Linked DNA regions of Neurospora crassa OR74A. The protein of the gene in region 3 purifies or fractionates together with the protein of the main gene of each other region. This does not show direct contact. Links are inferred from orthologs where the notes say so. Each region holds a gene or a part of one and is shown on either strand. Other genes may lie near its edges. The genes, in order: NCU04136, NCU03464 and hat-2.

Region 1 (3,600 bases), on a different chromosome or scaffold from region 3:
CCGGGAAGACATTACGGTCCAGGTTGGCAATGGAATCCGAGAAAGACACGCCGTAGACCGGACCGGAGTGGCCGATCAGCTTCCGGTTGTTGACTTGTAGATCCTTCTCGCTGGCTACAGATGATCTTAATGGCTTTCCGTTCATAGACCAGACGCGGATATAAGAGTCCATAGTTCCGACAGCCACGAGCTCGTGATCGTTGGAAAAGTCCATACATGAAACGCTAAGAAGAAAATAGTCAGCATGATAGAGCCGCACCGAAGAACATGTGCGAAAACTTACCTCCCCAAGCTGTTATGGAACGTGAACATGCAGGCCGAGACAGGAACACCCGCACCGCCAGTCCGACCCTCTATCTTGAACCGGTCCCGATTTTCTCGAACTTTTTGCATCTCCATTACGACGTCCCTGGCTCGAGATGGTGGAAGAGGGAGGTCTGTTCTCGAGGGAGCGTCGGCACTCTCTTCTCGCTTGATCCGCTGGTCGAACTCCTCCACGAGTGTAGACCTGCCCTCTACAGGTGGATGTCGCTGGTCCTCGTCCTCAAGTTCTGCGCGTACGTCTTCTCGCAATTCAGGTTCCATTGGAAGAGGGCCGAGCTTCAGCGGTGCTGATGAGTCGAGAACGTCTCTGTTTGTAACACCGGTGAAAACACCAGGAATGCCTTCGAGCTGGTCAATCTCATCAAGATCTAGATTATGAGCTCGTCGGTAGATAGCCTCAAAGCTGAATGGCTCAATGGGCCCCCTTGCGCTGACGTCTACCTGGCAGAAGGTTTGGAGGATAAATGTGATTGTTGAGCCGCCAGCATCCGCCTCGCGCTCGAGAAAGTGGAAGAGGTTGCCAGAAAGTGACTGGTTGAGCGGGATTCGATACTTGTTCTCTCGGTAGAGTTTGATTGTTTGGTTTTCGCGAATATGTTGTGGAAGGGTGACAGTCGTAAACAGGTCTAACGCCTCACGATGGACAGCGTCAAAATGAGGTCGTAGTGTTGCCAGGTAGTGCTTTGCTTCTTCCACATACCCCGTGGAAACGAGCTCGATGTAGGAGTAAACGAAGACAGGCCACAAGAGCTTCCTTAGCTCGAACTATTGCTTGTCAGCATCACTGCCACGGATCATTTGGATGCTCGCCTTCGTCGTCTCTTACCTTGTAGATGTCCAAATTATTCTCGATCCAATCTCGGAGCAAGATGAACGCCTTTAAGTACTTTCGCGGTCCGTTCTCCTCGTTACGCTGCGCGGGCCTGCCGTCAGGCCCGAGGTGGGCTGTTTCTTGACGGAAAACGGCTTCGGTCTTGGTGAACCCTTTCTTCTTAAGGTAATCCGTAACCTGTGCGTCGTTAGTTGGATGTTTAACACGATAGAGCTCCATCACAGCTTGGGTCGGCAGATGAGAAAAGCGGAGAGGCGAATGTGGAGGAGGCGAGTGATGGGCAAATCGTGGAGTCATGATTAGATATGGATAGACGTAATGTTTTCTCGTTACCGCAAGTTACCAAAATGTTGAGGGCAGGGGAAAGCGAAAAGAGATGATGTGTTGTGTTGTGATGTGACGATGATAATGAGCTTGATTCTGTAGTAGTAACGAAGGAGAAAAAACGTAAACCAGGCAACTTAGAGTTACTAGACGGGTGTGCTGGTGAACGAAATCTGAAGTGAATCTGAAATGAACTTTATGGGAAGCCCCATGAATATGAATGAGCGCCAAGGCACGGCCGGCCAACATGCCGTGTGCCTGCCCATTATGAAGAAACAAAAAAACAAAAAGAAATACGGTGATGGTTGGGAAAGTTCATGACTTGTACTTGTACATGTAGAGGTTCTGTAGAAAGAGGAGGGGCAGAAGGAAGCGAGGAGAGATGAAGCTCATAGAAATTCCATGAGCTGGTACATCTTGAACAAGGCTATAAAACATTGATAGGTAAAACATGGGGCAGGTGGAATCAAACACTCAACAAGGACTCACTATCTGATTCAAATTCTGAGGTGTGGGCGCCGTACTGCTCGTCGAGGTCGTCCCTGCAGCTCCTGTTCCTCCTGTGCCTCCCGTCGTTGGCGCACCACCAGTAGTAGACTGAGGTTGTTGATGTTGTTGGCCACCGCCATATGTGGCCCCTCCCGGCGCCTGGCCGGTGTTTGCTGGTGGGGGATTGGACATGATGTGTGAGATGCCTTTTTCTCGAACGGCTACGTATATCGTATGCTTTGTCTATACAACAGGTGCAAAATCGAGCCTCAATGACTCCGGTGGCGTGTATGGTTCTTGTTGTATCGATGTGGCTTTCTTAGTAAGTGGGTGGTAAAGGATGAGGAGGACGTCGACGCGTGTGGCAGATGATGGTAGAGTCTTGATCCAGCTCCTGTGAATCCGGTGCTATATAGTTCGTTCGTAATGGGTATACTCTGACTTCGAGAACGATCTTGGCTGCCTGTATAATGATAGCGTCTGTTTTACGGGAAAGGGCGAGATTGATAATGAGGCTCAAGAAAAGACGGAGATGACGAGGTCCAGGTCAGTGCCCGTCCAAGTGGAAGTGGAAGGACGGCATTTGCCGAGCGAGGACGTCGCGAACAGTCGAACAGTGGACCATTTAGCGCGTCTGTCTAGCGCCTGATCCGTGCTTTGCTGCAGGCACGCTGGACCTTGGCACTTGCAGGTCCCGGAATTTACCCCACGTTTCGTTCATGTTGTCCGTCAAGGTCCACACCGGCCATTCAGCACCCAACCTTAACTCAATTGACAGGTGGGGGAGCTTCCAGAACCTCTTCAGCCTCCTTGTCCCGAAAATACAAAACACAACCAAACCACCAACAGGCGCATCAAGAAGTTGACAGCAGCGACATAAAATCACAAACCACCCAATTGGACTCACTACAATATATATCTACCGATAATTCCATACGCATAAGCATCAGCCCATCGATTCGACAACTTCACATCAGCATGGATAACAACGCCCAACCCCAAGGGCAACTACAGCTCCAATCCCAAATGGACATCGACATCCACGAACCCTTTACAACCGCCGAGCACATTCAGCAACTCAGCAACATCGACAATGTACGTTACCTCCTTCCACCATTTCCATATTCCTCCAACTAACCTCCTCCTCTCCAAAAAAAAAAAAGGACATCGTCTCCCTTCTCGAACTAACCTCCAACGCCCTCCGCTGCCTCGCCTCCCCACCACCCACATCATCCGACACCCAGAACCAAACCGAAGCCGAACAACAAAAACAACAACAAGAAGAACAAGACCAAGAAGACGCTACAACCCGCTTCACCCAAATCCAATCCACCTTCCTCTCCACCCTCGACCGCGTCGACAAGCAACTCCGTCGACAAATCTACGCCATGGAAGAAGCAGGCATCATCAACCTCCGCTCTTCCTCCTCCAACTCCAACCCCAACAACCCCGACGACGACGGTACCGGCGGTCCAGGCGAACCCAGTGCTTCCAACAAACCCGGCGGTTACGCGGCCGCTTCTGCACCCAAAAACCCCGGCGAACTCACGCGCCCAGCCAAGATCGAGACGCACCGCGGCGCCAAGTGGGTGCGGCCCGTGGTGGCACGACTGGACCCGGACGGTGTGGGG
Region 2 (6,807 bases), on a different chromosome or scaffold from region 3:
GGGGGGTATCGACAACAGCAGCAGCAGAGGGGGTATCATCAACTGGCGGTGGGGAGGGAGGAGTATCGGCATCAGCATCAACAATACCAGCAGCAACAGCAATATCAGCAACATCAGCAACAGCAAGTGAGACAGATTCAGGGACAACAGCACCAACAGCACCAACAGCACCAACGTCAGCAACGTCAGCAACGTCAGCAAGCGATATTAGCACGGACACATCCGCTACTAATGGATCAAGATCCCTCCACAGTCTCGGACATGCCAGCGGCACAGGAGGAAGTACAGAACGGTGATAATGGGTTGAATGGCACGGAACAGGGACAGAAACCAAGAAACAGGAAAACAGTACTGGAGGAACCCAAGGTGGCGGACTTTGGCCTCGCTGAGGTCAGTAATAGTGGTGGTGGTGTTGGTGGTAGTGTTGAAGGTGCTGAAGGTACTGGGGGCGTAAGAATTCGGAGACTTGAGAGCCGCGAGGGAAGCAAGAACCGCGGGAGCATTCTTGCTCATATGGGTGGATGGGCTGCCGTTAGGCGTAATCGTGCTGCTGGTGCTGGTGGAAGTGGAAGTGGAAGTGGGAGAGTGAAGAATCAGCAGAGTGAGCAGACTCAGCAGGATGAGCAGTCTCAACAGGTTCAGCAGGTTCAGCGGGTTCAGCAGGTTCAGCAGGTTCAGCGGGTTCAGCAAGCTCAGCACGTTCAGCAGAGTCAAAAGAATCAGCAGGATCAAAAGAATCAGCAGGCTCAGCAGGTTCAGCGGACTCAGCAGACTCAGGAAAACAATGGCTTGAAAGATGGTGGCGATGGGAAAGTGAAATCTGAGAAGAAAGCTGAACCAATGGGAACAGTCGAAAAGAAGGTTCCGTCGTATTTCACGTTCAGTCTTAAGAAAGGTCGCAAGTTTGGTCCCAGTGCGTTGGAACACCAAGAGGATTTGGGTGGCTGGAAGGTGGGAAATGATATGATCATCAACGGTGGGAGTGTGGTGTTGAGGTCCTTGGGGTTGTCGTCGCCGGGTGTAGCAGAGACGACAGCAGAGACGCGAACACGGGAGGCGCGAAAAGCAGAACCAAAGACGAAGACGACATCCGCATCATCACAAGCAAAAGCAGCAACATCAACCAAACAACCACAACAACAACAAAAACCACCACCACCCCTCACCACCCACCGCCTCACCCTCATCCCCCACGCCAACTCCTCCGACATCTTCTCCCCCGCACCCCCTCCTGGCTCCCTCCTCATCCACGCCTGTAACGCCCAAGGCGACTGGGGCACCGGCATAGCCAGGATTTTCCGCACTCACTACCCCGGAGCCTACAAAGCCTACCAGGCGCACTGCTCTTCCATCCCCATCACATCCACGTCCACCTCCTCACAAACCAACAATCTCCTTCAAGACCAAGAAGAAGCCGCCGAGTCCGTCGACCCCATCCAAGCCCGCAAAAACGCTTTGGCCAAGCACCAGCGCAGCTTAGTCGGCACGGCACTGCTCATCCCGCCGCGTCCCTCTGTTCCGGACGACAAGAAGCACTTTGTCGGGTGTCTTTTTACCAGTCTTGGGTATGGCCCGTATAGAGATCCGGCGGTGGCGATGATGAAAGCGACAGGGAAGGCGATGGAGGATTTGATGAGGCAGGTTGCGGAGTGGAATGTGAATGTGAATGTGAATGCGACTGCTACGAAGAAGAAGAAGAGTATGAATATGGTGATTGGTCCGGAGATGAGGATGCCTAGGATTGATGCGGGCAAGTCTGCGGTGGAGTGGGAGATGACCAAGGAGGTCTTGGAGAAGGTGGAGGTTAGAGTGCCGGAGGGAATGTTGCCTGGGAAAGGGGAGATTATGGTTTTTGAGGGGGTTAGTGCCATTGAGGGGGAGAAAGGGAAGGGGGGGAAGGGAAAGGGGAAGGGGAAGGGACAGAGAAATGGGAATGGAAAGTAACGGGAAAATAGGTCCTGGGCACTTCTTGCGAAGCGAGAGAGATGGGTTTAATAAAGGGCTGGTATGAAGAGTAATGTTGATACGGCTACTGTAAAAGGAAGCTATTGTGTCAAGAGTGATAGAACTTCCTAAGCTCATAGCCCGTTCAAGGCAATAATCCCCATGCTTGACCAACCTAACCGTATCCATGTCCCTTAACGCCTCGCTATGCATATTATCAAAACGAAATAATGCCATGCCGTCGTCCCCTTTTCTTCCCAAATCACAGACCAACTTGGCCAAAACCCGGAACCAACCAAAACGAAATACTCTCAGCGACGACGGTTCCACCCAAGGAGATCCTACCTCCTCTTCGTCGCCGTGCCAATATCCGCCTCGGCCTCCAAATCATCATCCAACTCATCCAACTCTTCATCCTCCAACACACTCTGCTGTCTCTTCCTCTTTGTCCCGCCACCGCCGGAACCTAAACCCGACCCCGATCCCGAGACAGTACTTCCCGGTCCCTTTTCCTTTTCCTTTTCTCCTCCTCCTCCTCCTTTCTCCCCTCCCTTTTCTTTCTCTTTCTCCCCTTTCTCCCCCTTCTCCTTGTCTCCTTTGTCAGCACTACCCCCCTTCTTTTCCTTCTCCTTCTCCTCCTTATCCGCATCCTTCATCAACTGATCCTCAATGTTGAAATTCTTGCGCGCCGCCTCGATCTCTTTTTTCTTCTCAAACACCTCCTGGATCTTGCCCATGAACCGCGGGTTCCGGCGCATGGCAAACTCGAAATCTTCAAACTTGACTTTTTGTCGGCCGGCGTGGTGGGCGGCGCGCGTGGCTTCGAAGCCGACGCCCTGGATGAAGTCGGTGATGAGCTCGTCGAGCACGCGCACGGTTTCGGGCAGGGGGTTCTTGAGGTCGCCGTGGCCGTAGAGGAGTTGGGCTACTGTTGCGATGCAAAAAAGAGGGGGGGTTAGTCTAGGTGGGGGATGAAAAGAGGGGGGAAATGGGGAGGGGGGAAGAGGGGGGGGGAATGGGGAGGAGGGGAAAAATGGGGAGTGGGAAAAAGAAGAGACGTACGTTCGTTGTGGTTAAAATTCATTTTGCCGACATTTTTGCCGGCGCGGGCGCGGGGTTCCATGGTGGGCTGGGGGTGGGTGGGCTTGAGGCCCCGAAGTGTGAGGATGGTGATGGACGAAGGTGAGGTGGATGGAGGTGGATGGAGGATTGAGGTTGCGGTTCGCAGTAGAGATGCGTTGCAAACGAGGAAGGTTTGGATAGGAACCGAGTAGAAGGCTGAATTTATCGACGGGCTCAGAGGCTCAGTTGAGCAGACCTAGAAGCTCAACGTCGAAGGCTGGTGCGATTTAGAGCTTCGAGTTGCGCGGGGTCGAGAGCTCGATCAGCCTTGTCGCGTTAAGTGGTGAGGGAGCGCAAATGTTTGACGACTGAGAGGATGATGCAGCGCTGGATTAATCGAGCGAAACTGGTAGGCTGTACGATAGCTGTCTAGTTAGTTGATTGAAAAGAGCGTCCAGCCCGGCGGCATATGTCCCAACTTAGGCGTCTTGTCGGAGGACGGGTTCGAAGTTGAAAACGATGACGATGATGGATCGATCAACAATGAGGCTCCGAAATGCCAAACGGGACTAAGAAAGGCCCCCAAGGCCCCCAGGCCCCCCAACGGCGCCAGGAACCCCTGCCTTGTGTAACCGTGGCTCCACAAGACGGGTATGGAGTCCAATGACCAATCAGCTTCCAGTCACATCCATTCCACTTCCACTTAAGAGCGAACCACAATGGAAGAGCTGAAGCTGTGCGCGCCCCGGGGCGTGAGACTGCTGAGCGGCACCCCTAACAACGCTGAAAGTTCAGTGTGGCATTTCGCAGCCTCGCGGGCCTCTTTTGCCCTGGAAGCCGTGGAAGGAGCTATGACACCCTGGCCTCCACAATCACCACTGACTACACCTACGTAACCACCAACACGGCAAGTTTACGACACCTCCACCCGCGATATCCACGGCAAGGACGACGAGCGAGCGACGAGACCTGGACGCGTCTCCAAATAACGAGAATTTCTTTTCCCCGACAGCCTCATCATATCAAAGCGCCCACCATGGTATGTCACCCGCAACGTCATGGCGCATCACCTCCCATTGCATCCCATCACATCATCGCTAACCACTTTGATGATCTTCACAGACCGCGCTCTTCAACTTCCAATCCCTCCTTCTAGTCATCATCCTCCTCGTCTGCACCTCGACATACATACATCAGATGTTCCCCGCGATCCTCGACCGGAACAAGGATGGGTGAGTTGCCTTTCCCCTTTTTGGCGATGGACCTGTCTCTTCTGCCTCGACACCGCATAAAGTTTGAAAACAGGGCGGGTTTTAGGAGAGACAAAAGATACACAGGGACTGGTCAACGGAACGACGTGCTGACATGAAAAATGAACAGCTTGATGGGCATCTTCTGGAAGTGCGCAAGGATAGGCGAGCGGCTGAGTCCGTATGTTAGCATATGTTGTATCTTCATGGCGGTATGTTTTCCCGTTTGTTCCACACAATCCACTGTCTGTTCTAGACCAAAGAGACTAATAAGATATGTTGAATAGTTCTCCATGCTTGTTGGCAACTAAATCATTCTTTCCCTTGTTACCTCGACACGAATACACGTTTTTATAATGCTTGGCGCTTGTCAACTACGTGGTACTGCGCCTTTTAATCATAACTTTGGAGTTGCAGGAGTATATGTTCACACTGGGTTTCCACTAAAAGGAAAAAAAATGGAGAGAAGAGCATCGGAGAAAGCGACAGCCCCGGCGACATAAGGATAGACAGTTTTCTGGACGCGGGACAACAAGGCCGACAAATTCAAAGGAAGTACTTCAAAGTGAAACAGGCGGATGGCAATCAGGCAATGGAGGACAGCACTGGAGATGACGATCTGGCGTGCTCGGGGACACCGACACTTTGCGACTATCGACGCCCAGAACTCAGCACACCCGGCCAATCCCTCTCGGTAAAGCGAGATCGACAGGGTCTTTGTGGGACTTGGAAGCAGCGGACGCCCTATCGACAATGCTGGACTCCATGATTTTACCGAGATGGGACCCGAGCGAGCTGAGCTTCGGATTGCCGGTTTACGACTGTTCTAGACGACTGGGCAAGGCTCGACAGTACGAAAAGAGATATGGGATCATCGTGGCTGAGATATCACTAGTGGATCACATGGCATCAAACTGGTTTCGCCTGGCCAACATCGCAGAGGGTTCCACGCTCTTGTAGCGGTCACCGGTTTTTGTGTCTGGCTTGCTGGGTTGAGCACGGTCACGAGGTAGCTAAACACCTGGCCTTCGGTCAGTTCAAGAAGGTTCTGGTATGGTTCTCAACAGGCTGCGGCTAGACTATCAAGGTTGCGGATCCTTCATTAGACTTGGGCGGGATGTCCTAGACGATCACCGCGCCATATCCCTTTCTTTGAGAGACCAAATGAAGAGACAATGATGCATTCAAGACCCCCAATGTCCAAGGTTGGTAGCTAAACAGGGTGTCTGCAAAAAAAATGTGTCCTCTTCGGCGACTTGTTCCGGTCATGGCTGCTGATGTAACTTCTCCGCGACAAAGAATGTTAGATCGAAATGAGGCTGTTCACGTGTTCTTTTTGCTCGCGGATGTCCTTTCCTCGTAACTTCTTTTCTCCCCAAGGTTCTACGGTTGGTGATCCCAGACTATGTTGTGCACTTCCTTGGCCACCTGCAAAAGGGAAGCAGGTGATGACCGCCTTACTTGACGTTGTCACTTTGCGTTCGTACAAAGCAAGCCATCCATTATGTTTCTTTCTTCATAACCCTCGCTTTCTCTACTCTCCTCACTATCATAGATCTCTCACTTGCCGATTTCTTTGTTTATTGTGTGGAAGAGGCTCGAGTCATTCCGGCATCTATGACCAGAGGAGCTCTCTCATATAAGTCCAAGAACAGCCCGAAACAAGCACATACGACCATACCCACTGGAAAACTCGGGATCCCGTCCGCTCTCCCATAGATAAGCCAGTGAGGGCCAGACTAGTAGTTGGGTCGGTGACGACCAGCGAATCCCTGGTGTTGTATGTTTCTCGGTCTTTGTTTTTGTTTTCTCCTGTTCTTTTTGTTATAGACGACGAACGATCAAGAGCGTAATTTTCTACCGTGTCTATGTCCCTGTCGCGGAAAATGAAAGAGTAATCGGTTTGCTAAATGCCTTTCAGTTTGTGTGTTGTCTCAGACACTCAATCCCAGGAGTTGGTGGTTGGATCTGGATACAATATATTGAAGCAAAGATACATTCGATACTCGCAGTTGAACGTCGACATGATCTCGCTGTTACACTACACGAATAGCGCGGTCTTTTCTCTTCTCCTTTTACTACTTACTAAGTACCCTAAATACCTTAAGTAATCTCACCCGCTTCAATTATACCCAAAAGTCCCAAAGTCCCAAAGTCCCAAAAGGCCATACTGGACTGCCTCCAGGTAAAAAAAGACAGGCGTGCGTTTTCCTAATGTCAAAACAATACCGGCATTGCACCTAGACCTATGTGATGCGTAAAAATGCTGAAGAAGAAGAAGAAGAAGAAGAAGAAGAAGAAGGAACGAGCATGAAAATCAGCCAGTAAGTACATTGATAAAGGACATCGATCGATATTAGTAGGCAAGGCAAGAACAGCAGCAGGTACCTCTTCTCACCTCACCCACCCATCAATGTCTGGTGTATGTACCTACCTTACTCACTCCCCCCCGACACGGCGTCACCCGATGCTTACCTACCTAGGTACACCCCCCCCCCCCCCCCCCCCCCCCTTCTTCTTCTTCTTCTTCTTCTTCTTCTTCTCCTTCCCG
Region 3 (7,088 bases):
ATATCATTTCTAGTACGGTTTCAGGCTCCTCTTTTCATCCTTGTTTAATATCCTTCCATGCCCATGGCTTCAAACGCAAACTTGTTTGTCCCTGCTCGCACCCTCACGACAAGCCAACTTATTTCTGATGCTTGAAAATGATGCTACTGGGCCGCCTAAAGGCCTGTAAATAGTAGAAGACCCTCAGCCTGACTAACTAACCGAAGCAAGACTCTTGGAGGGTGATTACCGGCTCCTCGTCGTTCTGTCTGAAACACGGGACTGAAATTAAACGCATTCCTTAGACGAAACCGTGAAACCTAATATAATGGCGTTCGAGCCGGTCAACAAGGGACGAAAAGAACAATGGCGATATGATGTGAAATGTGAGATGTGATACCGTCGTATTTTCGCCAACCGTAAAACGCCAACCACCAAAAGCAAAAAGCGCCACTGCTCTTGTCCATTGTTATACAGGGCGGAACACCAACCACGCCAGGCAATATACTGCCCAATTTGCCTCGCCGTATACCTCGTCATGGCCAACCAAGTTATATGGGAACCAACCCGTATGAAAGAAGGCAGTCAATGTGACTTTTTTTTCCCGGCTAGCTCCAGGTTGAAACACCAGAACCAGCGATATCAATAACCACCACAACCTTACTAGCTAGGAGTCATGAAACTAGCAGCGACCGGCGCGTTCGGGTTGGGCGAGCCGACACCAGAGGCGCCATCGTCCTGAGTCTGGTCTTTGGTCATCGAACCGTTGAGCAACGGGCAGAGCCTAGAATGTCAGGGTTAAAAAGAGTGAAAACCGACGGAGCATAATGTGCGGACAACTTACTTTTTGTTTGTCTTGATATGGCCCTTGGCCCCACAATTTGCGCATCTGCGAGTGGTTCCAGTGGCTTTCTCAATCGAGGGCTCTAACGACCCGTCGTCGTTATCGAGGGGTAGAGTTCCTCCACTCTTGAGGCGCTGTTGTAGTTGTTTCTGTCTCTCGCGCTTCATTGTTCTCATTTTATTCTTCATGAGACGATCATGTTCCTTCTCGAGCCTAAAGAGCAATGTCAGTGTGCGGCCCTTTCTTTCAAGTACAATGCGTAGAGGGTGACCAACAGCTCGAGAATAACGGCGTCCCGCTCTTGGTCGCCGGTCATCTTAACATTGTAGATACTGCGAATAAAGTCAGTCATTGGTTCTTCTTCAAGTGCTTATGGGAGGGAACCTACTCAATCTCGGACTTTTGCTCTTGGCGACGCCTCTTGACGTACTGAGCAATGACAGCAGGGTCCCTTACGACCTCTGTCACAGTCCGTGTTTGGCCATTTTCATCCCTCACCTCTCTTGTGATCACGAGCTTCTTCCGGTTAATAGCACTGGTGGCGCTCTGGCTAATCTGACTAAAACCGTCCTGGACCACAGGGGTTTGCGCGAATTGGCTGCCCTGTACGTTGAAACGCTCGTCTTCATCCTCTTGCCCAAGCACATCTTCATCATCGTGCTCTTGGGAATCCAAGAGACTCTCCCGCTGGCGGTTCCAGATATCGGTAAGAGCCTCGGTGTAGAGTGTGTCCTGGTTCTTGACGTTGTACATGTGCCCACCGTTCGCTTTGCGCTGCCTCTCTATGGCATCTGCTGATGTGGCCATTGGTCCTTGGAGCTGCTCAAGATAGCCGCCTTTCATGGACGTCCTCAGGAAACTGATGCCCAGTCCCTTGCCCGTCGGGTCGCCGGCGCCATGAACTGCAAGCATAGCCTTGCCATGACTGGCGTCAAGAAATGCCTTGGTAGTCTTCCAAGGCGCCATCTTGTTGGCAAGAGCATCTGGAGAGAGCTCATCGTTCACATCAACCCCAATGTCATCGTCCTTGAGGGAATCGGTAGCATCATAACCACCCTTCTCGATCTCGTGCAAGCCCACTTGCATGGCGTCCAATAGGCAGACCTCTTCCGGCCTAACAAGAGATCGAATGGCCGGTTCGGCCATTAGCTCTTCGCCTTCGGGCAGCGCCCAATCTTTTGTTTCCTTTCTAAAGCGCAGGAACTCCTTCAACTTTTGACGATTCTGAGACTCGTTGGACTCAGCTACATGCTTAGTAATATCATGGAGGGTAACATGCTCGCTCTTGCGAAGTAGGCGATACGAGACCATCTTGAGACGATTCTTGGCAATGTTTGTAACACGTCTGGAATGGGGCCCTGGGACTTCCATGGAGGGCAGGGTTTGGCCGACAACGTAAAGATGATCGATATTTCTGATGTACCAAGTTGAGCCTTTTTGGCCGGTACTGCTACGACCAATCAGGAAGTCTGTATTCCTCGGGTTATGCTTGAAAATAGGGGCGCGGAACATGTGGTTGTGAAGAGTAGGCACGACCTCGCCAGGGTGGACGTGACCGAAGATGGCGAAGGGTGAGCGATCTTCTGGCATCAATATACAAGTCTCGCCAAGCTCACGCTTCTCAGGTCTGCTATCAGCGCCTTTAGCTCGACGGAAGTAATTAATGATTTTCTGTCCCATGCCAAAGTTGGAGAGAACGGTGGGAATTTCCTCGCAGTACTCGAAAAGGATAGCGGTCGAGTTGTCGTTGAGGGAGAGGTCATGAGTACTCTTAAATACCTCGCTGACGCGTTTACCCTTGAGAGTCTTGCGCTTGATAATGGCAGGCTTGTCGAACCTGATGAGATACTGCAGATCCTTCTTAGGGTGGAGCTGAGGCCGGTGATAACTATGAGGGTCACTGGCCGCGAGCTTGACGCGGTAGTAAGGCCAAGACAGTCTCTGCGCAGGCAAACTGTGCTCGACAGGGATAGTAGCCAACGTGGCCCGAACCCTATTCTGGCTGTTCTCCTTCAACGCGTCGTAAGCAGCGTCAGAGGAGAAATTGAACCGCTGTATAAGGTCCCGCCCAGCTTTCCCATTCGCCAAGCGGACCGTTTTATGTTGGGTCTTTCGCCGCTTAGATGACCGCTCAGATTCGACGTCGTCTATCAGCAAATAAGGGTCGTTCATGTCAAGGATGACACGCTTGCCCAATTTCGAAGTGACCTGCTCGAATTCGTCCAAATTTGGAGCCGTGAAGTGAGCAATAGGAGGAAGACCTTTAGGAATTTCGATCTTTCTCCGCTTTTGAGCAGGCTCATCGAGGAACATGGCATCCCAGTCCGCCTCTTCATCAGGCTCATCCTTAATGAGCATGTTGTCAGGTTTCGGCTGCGGTCCCGGCTCGATGGCAGCCGCAAGACTGTCGCCCAAGAAAATCATCTGTTCCCAGTCCTGACATATCGTAGCTATGTCCTGGAGGGTATATCCACCTATCCTCTCCGAATCCGTTTCGTCGTCCAAGCTGAATACTTCCAGATCGGTTTGTTCCAAAGGCTCTGGCTCTTCGAGACAGAACAGACCTCTCGCTTCCGCTTCCTTAATCCTCTGCCAAACGGAGCCAGTGGCAGGGCCCGGAATCCGGAACTGCTTTTCCTGATCGGCATCCAACTCCAGACTGAGTTTTGATGGTATCAAGGGCTTGGGAGCTTTGGGGGGCTTTTTTGAGATCCATGTGGCATTCTTGGGCTTCAATAGTTCGTTCCAATGCAGGATGGCGTTTTCCTCAAAACCGGGGAATAGTTGCTTGACGGCGTCGATGAAGTTTTCCGCTGGCGGAGGAATGTCGGGATCTTGATTTGTCGCATGCGGCTCTTCGTCATTGTCGAAGTTGAGGTTCCGGAGGTCTTCAAGGGACTCCCCGGCGGCAGCATCCGGACGTTTTTTGGCATCAACATCGTCATGGACGTCGAGCGGCGGGGGAGAGGATCTCAGGCCATCGTGAGCTGTGTCCATGGGCGATGAGGGGTCGCCACCAAAGAGGTCGTCGTCATCATTAGTGCCGGCGTCGTCGATGAGGCTTGGCAGCTCGCCACTGGTGCCGGAAGTGCTCGGTTCGTCGTTGGGTAGCTCGTCCTCGTCGCTCAAGTCGATGTCCTCAAAGTCGATGGCATCGTCTGCCTTGCCTCGTTGATCGATCTCGCCTCCCGACTGGAGGTTCCCCAGCATTTCAGTCAGACCATCGTTACCACCCGGGCCGAAGCTGTTGTTGATCTGGCGAATGGCTTCCTCATCGCGGGCCTCCTGCTCCTTCCATCCTTCCTCATTGAGGGCGTTGAAATCAAAGTCGTCGTTGTCTGCGGGCATCTTGCCGGGCGGAGAGGCGATGCCGCCTCAACGCTGTGTGTTGTCGTCTGTCGCGCAGTCGTCCGCCCGTCTCTCTCTTGCTCCCTCCAACGGTTGCGCGGCCGGTTAAGCTGTCAGATCATGATCCTGGAGCGGAGAAATCGTCGAGAATGCCCGCGGCGGGGGAGCAAAGTGAACCAAGCGCGCGTTCGGTGTTGGTGGGGTGTTGGCAACGCCGCATGCAATTTTGGGTCGTGGTTGTGGCAGAGTCGAAATGGCCGTCGGGTGAGTCGAGGGTGAGGTTGACGTTGAGGTTGCAACGGTACCTAGCGGAAGTTGCAAAAGTGTTGAACCTCCCACAAGCAAGGAAGCACACTGCCACTGCGCGGAGTGCAAGCGTGCTTGAATGCGAACAACGAATCGGCCTGTCGGGGCCACTGCACGGCTACTCTAGGTACCTCTAAGTGGGTCCGTTGACCGGGCCCGGGTCTGGCAGCCGTGTGACAGCCTACCTAGGTACCTACCTATTCTAGATACCTAGCGAGCAGCCCCAGGGCAGTGACTGGGGGACGCTAAGTGCAGTGAATGGCTCGCGCACACTGTCCCTGGTCTTGAAGCATAATACCTAGGTAGCGTTGAACCTGGAACTTGCTTTGGGAATCTGGTAAGGAACCTGGAATAGGTAGGTAGGTACAGGTAGAGGTAGAGGTAGGTAGCCCAGGTACCTAATACCTAAACTGTACAACCTGGAAACTCGGGGCGTTGATTTTCAACTTCCTAGGAAATCAGGCATAACCTGTAAGCATGCTGCCCGATTATGTGCATTTTATGTCCACAAAATTAATTGGAGGAGACTTCCATGTTGCCACCCCGAAGCACGGTAAATTCGATTCTTCAATGTCCTGCCTTAAAACACCTATCTTTTCAAGGGCGCTGGAGCGTGGAGACATTCAAAATCACCGTCTTGCATAGAATTTTTGGTGGGCATGAATGTTGCAGTATGCTTACAGCTTAGGCCTGATTTCCCAGAAAGTTGAAAACCAACGCCCCGAGTCTATACGGTATGCGACCTCACCTACAACTTACAAGTACCATCCAGGTAAAGTAAAGAATATGGAGGAAGAACTAAAGCTTCCCCGCCTTGTGTGACAACCAAATCAACGGCAGGTACAGAAGGAATAGGACCCCGTTGGAGGCGAAGAGACATGAATCGAGAGCGAAATCAAATACTGATTAATTGATCTCTTACAACAGTAGAGTGACGCGCAACTTAAGTCCCGTCTCCCTCTCTGTTCGGGCCAAATGGCCACAATGTCACCCGCAACGTGGGGGGCAGAACACACCTGAACTGATGCGAGATGTCATTTCCAGTCTCTCTGGATTCTCATTTCTCTGCAACCACACTCGCACGCCCATACCAGTGCTCAGCCCGTTTTTGGCATGACAGTTCGGATGTTATACCCTGCGAACTGGCAGGGCCATGAAGTTCAGCAACAGTACACTCACTACCAATGGTGTTTTTGACGTACAGTGGGAAACTGTGTTAAAGCCACGGCCGAAGCCATGGTTACGTACTAGGCTGTCGGTAAAGCCAAAGCTACATTTACCTACTAGAGGTACTATTCCTCTTTCTTGAGATGACTGGATTAGGTGGTTTAAAGAATGTAACAAATCAGCCGATATTGTGGGCCACAGTCATACTGCGTCTACCATAGCAGCTTCGTCATCGCCTTTTGCACCGTTTTCTTTACCTCGCACACCAAGTGAAGTTTCGAGGGCAAAAATACCACACTGCTCACCATGGCAAACCCCGTAATGGAAGAGTTGAAGCAAAAGCAAGATGCTCTAAGGGCGAGGTTCGTCGGCAAGCAGCTGTCCGAGGTCCCTACGCCCAGCGTCGTCCTTGACCTTAAACAGGTCATGGTGAACTGTGAGCGCATGCTCGAAGCAGCCGAAAACCTTGGCCTGCAATGGAGAGCTCATATCAAGACCCACAAGGTACAACAATGGATCATGACCCATTAAAACGACAAAACAAAACTGTCACTGACAACTGTAAACAACATATAGACAACAGAGCTCACCCGCCTCCAAGTCGGAAACCACCTCACCATTCCCGTCCTGCTAATCGTCTCAACCATCCTTGAAGCCGAAAATATCACTCCCCTCCTCAAAGAGTACCAATCCAAAGACCGCCATGTCAACGTTCTCTTATCCTTCCCGCTCTTCGCATCCGCCGTCCCCCGTCTCGCCGCCGTTTCTTCCCAGCTCGGCCCCGATGGCTTATCCGTTATGATCGATCACGTCGATCAGCTCCCCTACGTCAAGGCCATCCACACTTCCTCAGGACACCCTCCCCGCGTGTTCATCAAAATCGACGTCAACTACGGCCGCGCCGGCGTCAAGACCGACTCTCCCGAGTACCCATCTCTAGTCGACGTCCTCCTGGCTGCTGAGCGGGAAGGATGGTTGGTGCTGCATGGCTTGTATACACATGCCGGGCAGAGCTACGGGGCTCGCAAGCTCGGAGATGCTATGCATGTTCTTCACGCTGAATTCATTCACGCCCATAATGCTGCCATGAAGATTCGCGAAAAGAGTCCGGACCATGCTCCTCTGGTGTTATCGGTAGGTGCGACGCCAACGGCGACGACGATCCAGAGCCCTTGGTTTACGGGGGAGTGCGATGTGCCCACGGCAAACTCGCAGGGAAGCATGAGACCATTTGAGGAGGAGCTTAAAGAGTTGTGGGGCGGTTGGCAGAAGGAGGGATATGTGCTTGAAATTCATGCTGGTGTTTAGTGAGTTGGTCCTTTTCACCCTGGTGCTGGCTGACTTTTTTCTTCTATGTACATGTGGCCTCATTGTGCTAACACGGATCTTTCAGCCCGACCCTCGATCTCCAACAGGTCGCAACTCACGCACGACACATCGGTCT

The links.
Region 1: the proteins of hat-2 (region 3) and NCU04136 purify together in Saccharomyces cerevisiae (affinity purification with mass spectrometry; 16 studies listed by BioGRID, with this or other methods). This does not show direct contact. The link is inferred for Neurospora crassa OR74A from reciprocal best matches to the Saccharomyces cerevisiae genes TAF1 and TAF5.
Region 2: the proteins of hat-2 (region 3) and NCU03464 purify together in Saccharomyces cerevisiae (affinity purification with mass spectrometry; 10 studies listed by BioGRID, with this or other methods). This does not show direct contact. The link is inferred for Neurospora crassa OR74A from reciprocal best matches to the Saccharomyces cerevisiae genes TAF1 and TAF13.

What each region holds. Positions count from the first base shown.
Region 1 is NC_026505.1:4,960,537-4,964,136, reverse strand, and holds the start of NCU04136 (transcription initiation factor TFIID subunit), read right to left. Parts: upstream 2,544-3,600; 5' UTR 2,162-2,543; coding exon 1,970-2,161; intron 1,334-1,969; coding exon 1,151-1,333; intron 1,090-1,150; coding exon 284-1,089; intron 225-283; coding exon 1-224. Other genes in the region: NCU04135 (hypothetical protein), read left to right, coding at 2,948-3,064, 3,133-3,600. UniProt on the Saccharomyces cerevisiae protein: Functions as a component of both the DNA-binding general transcription initiation factor complex TFIID and the transcription coactivator SAGA complex.
Region 2 is NC_026502.1:614,515-621,321, reverse strand, and holds NCU03464 (transcription factor TFIID complex subunit Taf13), read right to left. Parts: upstream 3,531-6,807; 5' UTR 3,068-3,530; coding exon 3,007-3,067; intron 2,873-3,006; coding exon 2,286-2,872; 3' UTR 1,945-2,285; downstream 1-1,944. Other genes in the region: NCU16511 (ADP-ribose 1''-phosphate phosphatase), read left to right, coding at 1-1,944; NCU03465 (hypothetical protein), read left to right, coding at 4,043-4,045, 4,129-4,238, 4,387-4,468, 4,544-4,567. UniProt on the Saccharomyces cerevisiae protein: Functions as a component of the DNA-binding general transcription factor complex TFIID. Binding of TFIID to a promoter (with or without TATA element) is the initial step in pre-initiation complex (PIC) formation.
Region 3 is NC_026501.1:2,718,881-2,725,968, reverse strand, and holds the start of hat-2 (histone acetyl transferase-2), read right to left. Parts: upstream 4,549-7,088; 5' UTR 4,172-4,548; coding exon 1,212-4,171; intron 1,156-1,211; coding exon 1,099-1,155; intron 1,037-1,098; coding exon 824-1,036; intron 764-823; coding exon 643-763; 3' UTR 1-642. Other genes in the region: NCU16368 (hypothetical protein), read left to right, coding at 5,951-6,148, 6,221-6,951, 7,038-7,088. UniProt on the Saccharomyces cerevisiae protein: Functions as a component of the DNA-binding general transcription factor complex TFIID. Binding of TFIID to a promoter (with or without TATA element) is the initial step in pre-initiation complex (PIC) formation.